Tribolium castaneum: one gene and its partner. The protein of the gene in region 1 purifies or fractionates together with the protein of each later gene. This does not show direct contact. Links are inferred from orthologs where the notes say so. Each region holds a gene or a part of one and is shown on either strand. Other genes may lie near its edges. The genes, in order: PpD3 and p23.

Region 1 (8,084 bases):
CTGTAAGCTTGTCTGAAGATGGTTTCGCAAATTGTGAAACTGTGTCCCCACTTTCAGTCATTGTTACAAAATCACCAGAACACACATTTAACAGTTCTTGAGTGGTTGGTGGCAGCTCTTCCACTTTTTCAACACAGTTTTGCGTTTCGGGAAATTTACCCGAACACAATTCGGCCAACTCGTCGATTTTGCCCTAAAAAAATTTTGTTTGAGAATAAATAAAAAAACAATTTCTTGGGATTAACTTGTGTGTCCGGCAGTTCTGCAAATTTTTCCGAAAATGAATTGTTTTTCTCAGACTCGGATGGAGAATGATTCAACTGAAAACAAGATGACAATAAACCGTGTTTAGTCTGCGGTCCGCTACTGTACCTTTGAGTCTGAATTTAGGTTTTGGAGCCCTGTTAAGTAAGTCACAGGTGTTAAAAAATCGAATTCGGATTTGTTTTTTTCGATTTGGGGGCGCTGAGGTGTTGTGTTTACACGTGGGAGGTTTGGTGGCAACAAATCATCATCATCGGTTGTGTAATATTTTACAATTTTCTGACCAGACTCAGTTTCTTCATCGTCTGAATCTTCAGTGAAGGGTTTCACAATTCGCCTTAAAACCTTCCTTCTGGGGCTTTCCAAGTCTTCGTTATCCACAGCTTCATCATCAGCGTCGTTTTCGATATCTTCTCCACCAGCTTCTTCATTTTCTTCAACAATGTCCATCCCTGTTTCTTCATCGTCTTCATTTATTTCTTCGGGATCATCCTCTTCGGCCTAAAAACCGCGTAAAGTGCTGTGAATTAAGCGCAAATATTTCACCTCCGTGTCAATGAAAGCAGATTTCACTTTTGGTTTCTCTGGTTTTAGGTCGTATTCTTCTTCGTCTTCTTCCTCCGACTCTGATTCAGTCATTTCGAATTCTTCGTCTTCGTCGTCTAAAATATCTTTTTCAGTGTTTCCATCCTCATCTTCTAGTTTTTTCTCAGAGACAAGAATATCGCCTTGGTCTTGTTTTTGTTTCCACATTTCTAGTCGTTTTTGGGCCATTTGTACTTGTAATTCTTCTCTCAGTCTCTGTAATTTTGCGCCAGGTGTTTCAACTAACGGAGGCTCCTCTTCATCATCATCCACATTCATTGAAACCGTTTCTTTGATTATTTCACCTCCTTTTCCGACCCCAAGAACACTAAACAAGGAAAGTAATAATTTAAGTTAAAATAATGCAAGAAACGTACTCTAAATGAACTTTGTGCTTGTGTGAAACTTTTTTCGCGGTGTGTTGGAAATATTTTTCTACTAATTTTTTGACTTCGTTAGGTTTTGTAACACCTGCTTCTAAATCAATTATATCATCAGGAGTTCCTGATAATTTAGGCTGGAGATTAAGTTTGTCTCTCAATAACTCCAAAGTGTTGGCTTTTTTGGGAATTTCTTCAATTTCTTTCGGCACCTCGGAATTCTCTTCATTATGTGAACATTCCATTGGATCCTCCTGGTCAAATAAATCCGAAGAATAATTCTTATCTTGATCTTGAACCTTTTTTTCACCATTTTCTTCAACAAGCAATTGCCTCATTTTACTTTCAACCGAGTCTACAGCTTTATCAACCAAGAAATCAAGCCAGCTTCTAACTTCCCGTGCTGTTTCTTTCGTATCATCGTCTTCTTCTTCACTCTCAGACTTGTAGAACTCTTCAACTTCCTTGATTCTTTCATCTAATTTTTTTCTGTAAAGTAATGAGCAGTGAATTTTTTTTGACGTTTTTTTTTTTGAGGGAACTTACGAAACTTCCTCCAACTGATCCTTGCTCATTTTTATGGCCACAGAAGGGGGCGCCTTGGGAATGAGCGGCAAGGCGGAAGCCAGCTTGGCCCTTTTTTGCAAAAATTCTTTAATAGTGTAAGATTTTGGCTTGTGATAAGGCAAACTAACGTTAGATTCGCGCAACATTCGTTGAGATTCGGACTGAATTTCAATTTTTTGTTTGGCAGCTTCTTGTGGCGTCATCTAAAAGCGTTAGAACTTAACAATGTTTATACATTTATAAGACGTACTCTTTTAGGTTTGTCCGCATTTTTTCTTGATTTTCTGTAAACTGTAGGTGGCAATTCTGTTTCGTCCACATCTTCAAAGGTAGTTTGGACTCTTTCGTCCTCTGAGCTTTCAGAATCATATAAAGAATAACGCGATTTCTGAAACAATTATTTTAAATAATTAGGCGAACATGTACTAGTACTACTTGGGCGTTCGTGGGACCATTTTCTGGGACCAATTTGCCTTTGCTGTTGGTAGTGTAAATTAGGGCCTCAACTGCGGTTGCTTCATCCGGAAAGCTCTTATTGTGAGGCGTAATTTCTTCTTCTTCTATCACCGATTCATTATGGTCTTTTTCTTCGTCTGAGTCGCTGTTTATTCTTGATATTCTTTTTAATTTCTTTTTAGCAACGTCGGAATTAGCAATGGAAGTTTTTTCCTCGTCATCTGAGGGCTCTGCCAATGCTGGGGGCGCCTTCTCGTTCAAATCATTTTCTTCAGCTTCTGAGTCGCTATCAATAACATTGTGCTTTTTTCGTACTTTGTTCACGTTCAGTGTATTCATTTCGTTTTCATCTTCTGAATGTTCACTTAATTTATCTTCTGTTATTTCCATTTTTTAAAGAGAAACATTAACCTAACTTGACACAACAAACTTTTTCGCGCGCTTAGTTTGACACGCAGCTCGCCAACCCAATAAACAGAAATCACCAAGCTTTCTGAGCGCCAGAATTCAAAACTTGTGTGTAGTGGGAACTTTCTGGTCCGCTACATTAGTGCTGATCGTGGTGATTAAATAAAAGACGTGTAAAAAGTGTAGTAGAATTTTTATTGCTATTGTATAAGTCACAATGAAGGAAACTTGGTAATAAATAAATATTTTATTTACTTTAAGTCTAGAGGTATCTTTTCGATTATGATACAAAATTAAATAACAGAAACAATAAAAACTCATTTTAATACAAAAAAATAAAAGTGATGAAATGCCTACGTTAACTACATTAAAAAGGCAGGTACTAGCACATTAAACTTAGTAAAGAGTGTGCGTACGCCATTGGTTTTACGTTTGGATGGGGCTGGAAGAACAAAAATGTAGGTTTTAAATTAAAAAATGTACAACACATACCACTGCTTCATATGTAGTAAACTTAGGCTCCATATCTTTTCCTTTTAATGTAATAAAAGCACCTTGATTACCCATGGTATCACTAAAAAAATAATTAAGAAAAACATTTTTTCGAAAATTAATTTACCAATAGTTAGGAGCGGAAAACACAGTGATACATTTTCCATCATGAGCGACTTCGTATCCGTTATTTTTCACTTCATGACTTCTAATGATGTAATCCAGTTTATTTAATTCCAAAAACCTCTTCGTAACATCTGGTCCAAATTGACATCCAACTCCTCTTTTACTGGGCGCGCGTCCATTCTGAGTCTGAGGGTCTGACCAAAGCAGCTCACACATGGGGCCGTCTTCGGGGGGCTGTCTGTTGCGGTCAATTTTACTAATTTCACTTAAGGTAACATCGTCAGTCGAAAACAGACCGCCATGCATCACCTATAAATTTTTCTCATAGCAATAGTTGCCAGAAATTTCGTCAAATACAAAGCTCCAAAATCGCAAATTTTACCAAAAATGGTTTGAATTTGCCTTATTGGGGTGTTTAAGCTTGTATTTTATTTAAAAACTAAAGGTTATTTTGAAAAATTTCCCTAAAACCATTTGAGAAAAGTCAGAAGCCAATTATTTTGTAAAATTTCGTTAAAAATGAGGCAATAAGATCACCAAATTATGTCTAAAGTTCGGTTATTTAAGCTTATCCTGAGTTATTTCACGAGATTTTTTAAACCAAACCATCGAAATAGTCCAAGTTTTTTTTAATATCACTTACAAGAACTCTTTTATTCAAACAGTGAGCTAGTGGTAACCAGTTGTAAACCTCAGTGAAAAGTTCAGCCATTTGAGCGGTGTATTTAGCCTTGACCTCGCCATCGAAACCATACATTTGGTTCATTGTAGCGCTTTCGTGATTTCCTGTGTAAAGAAAATAAAATAATAATAGTCCAAAAGGTGCGTAATTATACCTCTGGACATGAAAAAGTGATTCGGATACAACAGTTTAAACCCAAAAAGGGTAAAAATACATTCAACAGAAAATGAACCTCTGTCAACAAAGTCTCCATTGAAGAGGTAGGGATTTGTTTCAGACGGTAAACCGTTCAAGTTAAAAATGTTCATAAGGTCGTAGAATTGACCATGGACATCACCACAAACAGTAAACTTATCCTCATCACCAATCTCAACATCAATCAGTGACGGCTGTTTCATAAAATACGCCTTAACATCCAACAAAATCTAAAATAAAAAATTAACACGTCTTGAATCAAAGGGCGAAGTGTTACTTTGTAGGCGTATTTCCTGTGCAGCTTGCCTTGATTCTTGTACAATTCCATTAAATCCTTCATGAATTTTAAAGTCACTTTTCCATCCTCAAGCTCAGGCCCCGTGTACTCGTTCTCTATTGCTGTGAAAACATTCACAAATGTGTTTTCCCCCCAAATAAAAACTTACTCATTGCATCTAAATTAATAGTACTGGCGATATTCTTTTTGGTATCTTCGACCGAAATGGCCTTCTCGAAGGCCAATTTCTTCACTATTTTGTTACACTCCGTATATTTGGACTTGGCGTCTTTGTCATTAGGTCTCACTTTTGTCACCTAGGGCCAATTTAGGGCTACAATGTGCCACAAAGGGGCCGCAACTTACATATTCGTAGTCCTTCAGGGCCTCCTTAAACTTGCCCAAGCTCATGTGGGCCGCCGCCCGCCTGTAAAACCCCTTAACGTAGCCTTTGTCCAGCTCAATTGCCTTCGAAGCATCGGCTAAAGCGTAGCCGAAGCACTCAGTTTTCAAGTAGGCAAAACTGCGATTCCCGTAATAGATCGCAACATTCGGATTTGCTTCGATTGCTTTAGTGTAAAGTTCTATAGCGGCGTTGTAATTTTGTTCTGAAATTGAGGAAAAAAAGTGGGGTTATGTCAAATTCACGCCGGAATTTGCGAAATTCTCGCAGCGAATTCGAGCGGAATCGCGAAATACGGCTAAATGAATTGAGTATGAGGTTGTTATTTTGCAAATCATGTGGGTTTTGAGTAAATAACGAGGGGAACTTACTTTTAAAGTACTCGTTCGCTTCGGCTTTGTAGCGCTCGCCGGCTTCAACTAGTTCGGGGGTAATAACACAGTTTTCTTTAACTTCTGTGTTCATTTTTATTTAATTTTGTACCTTAGTTTTAGAAATTGGATGAAAAAGTCTTTAAAATCCCTTCATTACTTATCAAGGTAAAAAAATAGAGGATTTGTGTTTGCGCTGGAGTTGCCAACATAAACACGCCCGCCATATTCAAACAACTGCCATTACTCAAAACAATTTATTAAAAATCACACCAAAATACTCAATTTTAACACCTTTGGCTTGGTTTTAACATAAAAACAGTCATTAGCTTTTAAAGCTTATTTTTTAAGTGGAGCTGAACACTTTCGAATTTCTCTTGGAGCACCTGTGCCGGAGTCACATATTGCTCTGAAAATATACACACTTAGGGCAAATACACATAAATGGCCAAACTCACCTAATCTATTTTTAATAAATAATACTTTAGTATCATTAATTTCATAAGTAACACTGCCGCTCCTAGAACAATCAATTAATTTCGAAGAAAAAAACAATAAAACCCGTACTTTCTACTTTTTGTCAAAACATTTTGACCCGCAAGCGCATTCAAACAATTGGTAATTGTGTCCAAACTTAAGGAATAAGGATGGATAAATCCTTTACCTTCATTTATCTTTATTTCAATTTCTTCCTGAACTTTGGCCAAAATTGTTTTCTCTTCAATAACACGTGATAACTGTAATAATAGTTTATAAAAAATGCAGCACAAGTTAAGTAATTTACCTCCAAAATAACCGAACACACCACAAAATAAGTAAAAATAAAACAATCAATACAGTTATAAATAATTTCTTCCAACTGTTTATTTTCACCGAGATCATATAATTCTTGGTTTCTGCTCAATAAATTTAAATCGACCGCATGTGCTAACGCTGAAGTGAATTCCTAAAAGAAATAACTCACTGGTGAAGCTGCAATATTAAAAAATAAAACTACAGTGTAACCTCTCTAAGCCGAACAAAGCCAAGAGTTTTAAAAAATAACAAAAACGAGAAATTCAAATGTAGAAAGACAAAGTTCGGATCGTAGAGGTTCCACTGTATCGAAAAGAAAAACCCACACACCATTTTTTCCCTGGTGTTAAAAGTAACAAACTCCTGGGACAACAGAGACCTCAGAAAGTGATAATTCGCAAAAAGTTCATCTGTACAGAAAGAATGCAATTACCCACATGCTATTTAGTGGAAGATTCTAACTACAATTTTAACTCAACTCAAAAATTACCTTGACTTTGGGCCCTTTGGTGTTTTACGATCAGTACTAAGACGGCCAAGTCCACGAAATAATGCAAAGTCGGGTTAATATAAATTTGTAAGAGCATAAACGGAACCGAAAACGTGATTGTCTTTTCTGAGAGTTCGTGAGCTTTCAATTTGGATACATTGACTTTGCCCACAACGATTTCATCCCAGACCAGAGTGACTTTTCCTTCCTCATTAACTCTGACGAAATTGTTGTGGACTTCTAAAGCCTCTAGCACGCATTTTCTTGGGTCATCCATGAAGACGTAAGCTCCGAACTTTTCAATGACTTTTTTCAGCCCCAAAATCTCGTCAATAATCTCATCAACACTCAAAAGATTCCTTCCACTCGTTAAATTATTGTGCAAAACAATGGCCAATAAATTAAACGGTGTTATAATACAATGCTTTTGTTGTTTGTAAACAATCTCATGCGCCAGCGACGGAATTAATTTCTTTTCATAGTCGGTGATTTCTTGCATGTGAATTGGTTGCAAATTATGCAAGGTTCGGTCCAAATCCGGCCCAAAGAACTTCTTCGCTGATATCGGCTCAGCTACATCGAAGTAAATCGAGCCGAATTTTTCCTTAACAATGCTCAACGACTTGAAAAACCCAGACGTCGACTCTTTAGGCTTGGGAATGCCGAGTAACTCAAATGCGAACAATTTTTCCTCCAAAATTCGGTCGTAGCTGATGTTAATTGGCACGAAAAGAACGTCAGGGACTTGGGACAAGAAAAATGCTCGAAGAATCATCAAAATCAGGCCGTATTTTGGCGTGAGCGACTTATTTGTGCGGCTTCTCGTCCCTTCGATAAAAAACTCCAATGGCAAGTCTCCTTTGGTGACAAGCTGGTAAACGTATTGCTTGAAAGTCGTCCAGTATAAATGGTCGTCGTTGTATGAGCGTCGCATGAAAAAGGCTCCAGTGTCGCGCAAGACTGTGCCCATACCCCACATACCGTGAAAATCTGTTACAAAAATATTGCAAATTTGAGGATCGCGGTTAAATTACCGAAGGCTAGTGTTAGGAGGCGACACGTCTATATTTTTTATCAAAAATAATACTACAAAAAATACAAACATTTACCAATTTGTTGTGTAATTTAGTTAAGAATAAAGCATAGAAATAATTACATAAATTAGCTAAAACATAAAAAATAATAAATAATGAGGACGATCCTAAGCAATATAAAAGTAAAACTGGCATTCCCCTATTCTGCAATAAAAAATCATGAATTTGCTAAAATTATTTTTACAGTAATTTGATGTTTTTTTTGTAAATAAGGAATTGCTGGAAGGTCGAATAAAATATAAATTATATAAAAATAAACAAGGGTTGCCATTTGAGATAATAAAAATAAAAAGCCCTAAAGTTTAAAAATTTTGGAAATAAATTGTAAACACCTTGTAATAATTCAGATTTTTCATTAATGTACAGATTATTATTCAAATACTAGAGACATAATGATACTTATAGTTCCATTATCTACAAAGTAAATGCAACATTAGAAATAATTGTATTTAATGCATTTGTCCTTCTCCAATGTATAAAAAAATATTTTTTTAACTAT
Region 2 (8,171 bases), on another chromosome or scaffold:
CTTTTTTGGGTTTTCTCAAAAAAGTGGGCCTCCGTAACTTCATCGGTAATTTACTCCGGGCTTTGCAATAGTCGAAATTCTCCGGTGGTACGTCCGGACTTTGCACAATAACCTGACTACAGGAGACATGTTCGATGCTCGAGTGGTTCGAAGTGTAGGCTTGGAACTCCTCGACTTTGAAATCGTTTAAAGATTGTGATAGACGACACCTGGCCAATTGTCTCGGGATTTTGTAAAGACCGTCGTCTTCGTGGTCACGAAGCACCAGGTTTGGGTCACTTCCGCACTTGATAATGCCCACCACTGGCAAAATTTCGATGTCACTTTTGACGGGGGAGGGTTCAGGGGTTGCGACTTCGAAGCACACTTCACTTTTGAGCACCACATCGTTTTCGGGGGGTTCACCCTTTGATAGAAATTTGAAGCTGATTTTGGGGACGTCGTATTCCACTGGTTCCGTTGGTTCGTTCAGGTAACTACAAGGTGTGTTAAAATGATTTTCATCTAGTCAACTTTGAAAGTGGTTTAGATAATAATAATAAGCCGTCTTTATTAGAGTTGTAAATACAACAAGTAATAAATAAACGAATTGAATAGAAAAACTACTGAAGAAAAAAATCACAAAATAAATGAAGAAGAAAATGAGAATTTTGTGAAAAACCAAAAATTAGAAATATATGCTTTTATTTTACTGAAAACTCGAAAAATACGCACAGAAACTTGATGGCAATTTTTCTTGACTGAAATGCATAGTTTACGGAGATAGGGTGGTAAAGTAGTAACAAACATTTTATAGAAAACACTGACAAAATATAAGAATTATACAAGGAGTCTCTGCGAATTGGTAAAGTCACTTAAATAATTTAAAAATAAATATTTTTTTATAAAAAAGATACTAACCCCCTGTTTCAAAAATGAGCTACAATTCAAACTTATATTTTTTTAAATGCAACATACTAATTTTTTTGCATTTTTAGAAGTAGCTTTTAGTACTGATGATTTCGATCTAATTGTGTATTGAACAATTCTGCATAGTTTTTGAAATAATTTAATGTTTTTTTGACTTAAATACACTCTTTTTAATTCATATCACAAAAACTAAGAATCCTAAAGATATGGGATTTTCATCACTTTAAAAGGGAAATTTCTGACATAAATCTGTAACTGTTTAGCGCATTTCGATTAGGAACATAAAAATGAAGAAGTTTCTTGAAAGTTGAATAACTTGAAAACGTTAAATAGAACATCTCATATATTATTAAATTGTCGATCTAAAAACATGAAGTTTCAAATGCCAAAAGTTAATAACTAAAAAGATATTTGACATTAATAGTTAATTTTAACATTGGAGTTTACACGGGGTTTTCGTTAATTAACTGCGGGGTTCACTGCAACAAATGAGGAATAATGGCCTAAGGGTAATACTAAAGTTATTTAGGGTTATAATAAAATAATAATAAATTTACACCACACGATTAGTGATTATTATTCTAACCCGGGTTTCGACCCTATTTTAAGGTCATCTTCAGGGAGGCTATTTAAGCCTATTTTAAGCCCCCTGAAGATGACCTTAAAACAGGGTCGAAACCCTATTACTATTTATTACAACCATAAATTTATGTTTCACAATTATTTGCTAAAAACTTCACTTTTTGACTACTGAAATAATAGTTAATATTTTTTTAATGTTTAAAGTTAAGTATTATCAGCAAGAGACATTTAATTAATTTGAATTGAAGATGAGTCTAATAATTATAAAATTTCACATTAAAACAGAAAAGTGAAATTAACAAGTAATATTCTATTCAAAGATTTCTCTAATTGTACAATTGCAATTTTTTTGGTAAGTTTTTAGTTTTTGTATATTCCTTGTTTTAATCCTGTGTTTTTTTCTGTACTTCTCTTTAGACTAATGATGAGGATTTTTCCTTGAAACATGTTTCAATTTTAATATATGATTTGGACGTGCAAGTAGACATTTTTTCATAAACCCCTTCAGACATTTAATTGTTAAAGGTCTTTTAGATTCAAAATTAAAAAAATAGGGTTTTCCATTTAAAATTTGTAAGTTATTCAACTTGCAAGAAACCTCTGCATTTTTTTATTCCAATGACTAAAGTAAGCTAAAAAAATATATTCTGCAAAATTGACGAATAAAATGGACATTTTCTTTTTGCTGGGACATGTAATATTTGGTCTACTGGCAGCCAACCAAAGTTCTTTTATTTTTTGCGGAATATGGTCAAATTTTGTTTATTTATGAATAAAACGAGAACACGATTTTTATATTTTTTGTAACTGATATTTGGATCGATAATAATCTAAACATGAATAATAAATAGTAAAACCATAGTTTGTTGGAAAGCACCAATGATTTTTAACGCAATTTAAGACCTTTTATGAGTACAATCTAATTTACATATTCTCTAAATCGCAATTCCGAATCCATTATCATTACAACTCCAAGATTTTTTACGTTACTGAAGACACCTATTTGTTTATTCCCAATTTTGAGTACCTTATTCTATACGAAAAATAAATAAACATATATAATATATAATATATAATATATAATATATAATATATAATATATATTGTAATATAAAAGTATATGAAAAACGTTATCGATACGTGTAAAGAAATACAAGGTGTTCCATGTGAAAAAAATGAGTTATTCTACTTTTTATGTTTTGGCACACGCTACATATTATATACGAGCTTTAACTAAAAGTCGTCTATTTGCTAAGACTACAAGGTATTCTGAATTTTCCTGTTGCAAATTTTCAGGAAAATATTCATAGGCGATTTTGAAGTGATTTTTCAAAAATTGGTCTCTCTTATAACGAAAAACTGAATCATTCCAAAAGAAAAAAGATAGACCCATAATAGTTTATATAAAGTTACATTATTTCTTTGCGTAGATTCCAATTATGCGAAAATATATAGGGTGTTCCATTTAAAAAAATATAACTTTGGTATACAACACCCTGTGTATAAAAAAAATATTTTTAGTTTGTGGATTTTAAGTCGATCTCTTGGATAAATAAAAACAGCATAGCAATAGTTCAATTCCCAAAAAAGTTAAAGACCGATTACACACCCCTGGGTCACCTACTGTATATTAAAAATAGAAGCGGTTCAAAAGTTGAGCCTTGTGGAACACCGGACGTAATATTACCTGCTTTTGATTGGGAGTTGCCTATAGTAGCAACTTGTTTTTTTATTTTGTCAAATAAGGAAGAAAAAATAATTTTTAAAGCCATAATAGTATATTATGATACAAGTTTTATAAGCCACATTTTGTCGCACGCACGAATTTAGAGCACGACGAGCGCAACGACAAAATGCCTTATAAACAAGATATCATACAGTATTTTTTCTACTTCGCACTTTTTGTACCAACAAAATTAATTTCAAAATTTAGGAAATTTTGGGGCTGTTGATAAATTGCCAGTTTATTACAATATTCAAAAATTTCGTTACACTCATTTGCGAATTTATTGGAGACTTAATAAATGGAAGATGGTAATTTTTGATGTCTGTCATTAGTTCTATTTGTAACGACAAATTCAGTGACTAGATGAAAATCATTAAAACACACCTTGTACCATTTTCCATTGCGTCTTGGAATTTTTCGTCGTCGGTGTCACTATCACTATCACTGTTTACAAAAACACTGTTTGGCACAGTTCTAGTGCGGTCGTATTCCTTTTGGGCCGCTTCCAAGTCGTAAGAGCCCGATTTTCGCTCGGTAGCGGCTTTTTTCGAGTTGATATTCGGAACGGTGATTCTCCACTGCTGTTTCGTTATTTTATTGCAGATTTTTTTCATTTTCGCTCGCGTCGCACTCAATTGCTGCTACTTACTGACACTCATTTGTGAAAAAAGCAGGATAAACGCTAATTAGGTTGTGTGTACGGTTAGATAAGGAAGGAAAATGTTGACGTCGATGAAACTGTTAAAGGTAAATTATTGGGAAGGTCGCATATTGTGCTTGCTATCATATGACGGTGACATAACACAACACTCGAAAGTTCACATTTTTCACTTTTCGCACTCGCGCTTCATTCAGAACTACCGCAGGGCCAACGCGGAGCAAGACCTCACTATATTAGTCTGTGGTGCTATAATTATCACATGTGTGTGTGGCTTAGACGGATGTATTGATGCCCATCAGACCACGTGAGAACCGCTCTTTTCGACGACATTAAACTGATTTGTTGACGCGAGTTAATTCGTTTCAAATGACTCGGAAACGTATGCAAAAATGAAAGTTTTCCACATTCTTTACACGACTTTGCCATCAGAAATGTTGGCAAATATTTTGATAACGCAAATATTGTAAAATGATTCAGTAAATCAGTTTGGTCGTAATGAGGTCGCTATTTTAATTAACTGAACTAATTGGGACAGATAACTAACGGGGTAATTCAATTAGCTAATTGAAATGTTTGCATTTTTGCGCCGTATCCAAGTTCAAATAGAATGAATTAAAGAAAGTGCAGAAATACAGAATAAAAGACGGAAAAAAATTAATCTTTTCGTTTTTCTCTGCTCTAGTACAGTCAGATCTGGTGATTTCGATGCTAATCTGGACAAAACGCTGGTTTTTTCAAACTGTAAAAGGTGGTCACAGATGGTGATTATTTGATCACTGATTATTTGACAATTTTGTTGCCAGAATAAAACTTTACGGTCATTGAAAAAATATTGTAAGTAATTAACTCATTTGTTAATTATCTTTCACAATACTTCAATCTATGTATTTTTTTTCAGAATGTTTCTACCCTTCCTTTAATTAAAATTGATTAATTAAGGATATTAATTAATCGGTAATTTATGATTTCTTGTGTTACCTTAAAACAATACGGTGGTTAAACGATGTTCTCGAAAAAAAGCAAAATTTCGTTTATTTGAATTTCTAATTTTTACTTACATTCGATTCACTTCAATAAAAACCATTGTGGTGCAAATAGCGTACTCTGGGCATTAACTTTCATATGGGTTGTCATGGTAACAGGTTAGTCATTTGCACCACAATGGTTTTTATGAAAGTAAACCGAAAGTAATTATTTTATTCTTCAACAGTGCCAAAATTTACAGTTTTTTTTCTGTGTAAGAAAGTTTTGACAACTGTTTGACATTTCTCACTACGAAACATGAGATTATTTTTAACAAATTTAAGCAATTTTAAGGATCGGTTTATAGAAACGTCATTAATTTAATTCGCAATTAATTGCGTGATTAACGGATCACGTGACCAAATTGAGCAAATCTGATTGGTCCATTTGCGTTGTTGACTTTTAACAGCGAATTAAATTTTAACGAAGCTTTCTATAAACCGGCCCTAAGCTTTGTTGAGTTTAATTCGAAGATTAAAATGTTGTATTCAACTCGTTTTCATGTAAATCGGTTCATTTAATTTACCTCGTGGATAATAAACCCCTCGTTGTCATTCGACGTTTAAAAATCCGATTTACACTCAAACTCGGTAAATAAATAACTATTTTGGGACTAGCAATACTTTTTTACAGATATTTATAACAATTTTTTGCAGCTATTTAAAAGTAATTAATTAATTTTATTTATTAGAAATTGTAGAAAAATTCTGGAAAAATTCACAGGCATAAAGAAAATGACAAAAAACTGAACAGCATTTAGAATTCTGGGCGATTTATTAGTTCTAGATAATAGTAATAAATATACTTTTAATAGACTCACACTGTATAAATATTAACAAACTAGATTATGCAATATTATAACTATGTACTACACAAATAGTAAATTAAGTTCAAATGACGTAAGAATTTTTTGCGTTTCTCAAAAACATAGTTAGATAAATTTAATTAGATAATAATTGATTAATTTATTAGACCACTCCGGAAAATCAATTAAACGCAATTATTCGCAAAATTTTATTAAAAACAAGTTGGAAATCCACCAAATTATACAAAAAAAAATTTGTTTTCTGTTGAAACCTGATAAAAAAACTAAAAAATATCAAGTTGAATTAAAACTAGAATATGCTACTCTCGATTTAGTCTATTTTTGAACCGAAAATCATATTTTGGAAGACCTTGTCTGAACATATAATATTTAGAAACAACGAAACAATGATGTTAACTAATTTATTGTCACGTTCTTCAACCAAAAACTCAATTATTTAGCAAAATTATTTTAAAAAATAGATAAAATTCGGCCAAAAATTGTATAAGTTTTGCATTTTTCAAGTATTTGAGCACTTTTTTTGAAATAAAAATTAAGTTTTTTTTCGAAATTAATCTAATAAAATACTAAATCGACTTGAAAAAGGTGTTATTTTACCCTTTTCAAACTTCAAGCAATTCAAAAAATGACTATGTTTTTTGTGAGACTGAAAAATCACATAACTAAGTAAAAAATTATAATAATTTTGTTCTTTCCAAGCATATACTTTACCACATTTTACAGCCTGATACGCAATTATTTTGCGAAATTTCATTAAAAACAAACTGAAAAATTTTATTATTTTCGAAAATTTTGCCTGAACTGGGTAAAAAATCGTAAACTTAGGTCGAAATTGAGGTTCTTTTAGCTTGTATCGCTGGACTTTAAAGCAAAGACTTAAGACTGGTTTATCGAAGTGTCATTAATTTAATTCGAAATTAAATATGTGATTAACGGATCACGTGACTAAATTGAACTAATTTGATTGGTCCATTCGTGCTGTTAACTTTTAACAACGAATTAAGTTTAAACAAAGCCGGCCCTTAATCTGAAAATTAAGTTCATTGTGCTAATTTTGGCTTTTTTGCGGAAATGGGTTAAAAAAACATCTAATTGAATCGAAATTAGAGTTTGTTACTCTCGATTTAGTTCATTTGTAAACCGAAAAAGATGTTTTGGAATATTTTATTAGTACAAATGCCCAAAAATAGCGAAACGAATTGATGTTGTTAACTATATTTTCCAAATAGTTCATTCTAAAACACAAAATTTCATTTAAAAATATACAAAATGCTTCAAAAAATTGTAAAATTTTCGCATTTTTTGAGTATTTAATTTAATTTTTAAAATAAAAATTTACCCTTTCTCGAAATTTTTTGTCTGTTTAAACACATTTTTGAACAACACATTTAGTTAAAGAATAAAAGACGATGGATGGATGCTAAATCGAAAATGGTGTTAAGTATTTTTAATTTTTTTAACGAGCTTTTAAGCACGTTTTTTGAACTAAATTCTCAGGTTTTTTAGGCTAAAAAATCATATACCTTATCAAAATCGAAAATTATATAACTTTTTCTTTTTTTAACTTTACTATTTCCATTAAAAATGAGCCGTAACATTGAATTTTATCGAAAATTTTGCTAATATTGAATGACAAATAAATTAGTTCGAAATTGAAATTCTTTTACTTTTGGCATGTTTCACTCAAATCGGTTCGTTTTTGGAGCAAAGACCAGAGTTGTGTTAAATTACGCTTAAAAATTACACAAGTAAATCAAAATTGATATTATCTCCATTCGGTTAAAAAATAGCCAGAGGAACTCCAAAATTGTGTTATTTTCAAGCATAACATCGTTTTTAAAGTCCATTCTCATTTTTTGTGGAATTCTAAACAGACTGAAAAATTAAAAGTCAAACAATTCGAGATATTTTCCACAAAATTACGTTAAAAACAAGTCGAGATAAACCACCAAATTAGTAAAAAAATGGTGGTATTTTTGTCTTTTTCAAGCTAAACACTATTGGATAGATTTATATTAAATTTGATGAAAATAGGTTTAATTGGTCTGGCAACTTCTTGCGCTATGAGCTGGTAAGTTCTTTTTTTTGCCGACAACACTGCCTACATTATAACATAACACCGCAAGATGAGTAACAGGATATGCATTAAGCCACAAGAGCAGAAAGAAGAGTTACTGACGCACATCGTATCAAGTTCCTCCTGTGCTGCACAAGTATCAGAACATGTGTTCAGCGGCCGTAATAAAGTCGGTTATTATGGATTGTAATTATACAAAGAGTTAGCTGAGCTATTGTGGTTTGAGTACAATATCAGTTTTTATGGGTAACAAAGTATCAGCTGGAAGCAGGAACCGAATAAACCACCTACCTTCTAACGTCCTTTCAGGTGAATAGTTGAACTTTTAGTCTTGTAATTTCTAATAGAAATCGATTAATTTGCAATG

What was found.
Region 2: the proteins of PpD3 (region 1) and p23 purify together in Homo sapiens (affinity purification with mass spectrometry; 5 studies listed by BioGRID and IntAct, with this or other methods). This does not show direct contact. The link is inferred for Tribolium castaneum from reciprocal best matches to the Homo sapiens genes PPP5C and PTGES3.

What each region holds. Positions count from the first base shown.
Region 1 is NC_087396.1:11,942,080-11,950,163, forward strand, and holds PpD3 (serine/threonine-protein phosphatase 5), read right to left. Parts: upstream 5,402-8,084; 5' UTR 5,301-5,401; coding exon 5,207-5,300; intron 5,041-5,206; coding exon 4,799-5,040; intron 4,750-4,798; coding exon 4,602-4,749; intron 4,555-4,601; coding exon 4,433-4,554; intron 4,386-4,432; coding exon 4,115-4,385; intron 4,065-4,114; coding exon 3,922-4,064; intron 3,588-3,921; coding exon 3,280-3,587; intron 3,235-3,279; coding exon 3,153-3,234; intron 3,103-3,152; coding exon 3,043-3,102; 3' UTR 2,837-3,042; downstream 1-2,836. Other genes in the region: claspin, read right to left, coding at 1-193, 246-320, 373-765, 811-1,177, 1,227-1,718, 1,776-1,999, 2,047-2,184, 2,232-2,642; Gnpat (dihydroxyacetone phosphate acyltransferase), read right to left, coding at 5,539-5,615, 5,665-5,726, 5,774-5,943, 5,991-6,152, 6,332-6,411, 6,492-7,481. UniProt on the Homo sapiens protein: Serine/threonine-protein phosphatase that dephosphorylates a myriad of proteins involved in different signaling pathways including the kinases CSNK1E, ASK1/MAP3K5, PRKDC and RAF1, the nuclear receptors NR3C1, PPARG, ESR1 and ESR2, SMAD proteins and TAU/MAPT.
Region 2 is NC_087398.1:11,207,878-11,216,048, reverse strand, and holds the start of p23 (prostaglandin E synthase 3), read left to right. Parts: upstream 1-3,937; coding exon 3,938-4,182; intron 4,183-8,171. Other genes in the region: Nost (nostrin), read right to left, coding at 1-476, 3,602-3,831. UniProt on the Homo sapiens protein: Cytosolic prostaglandin synthase that catalyzes the oxidoreduction of prostaglandin endoperoxide H2 (PGH2) to prostaglandin E2 (PGE2).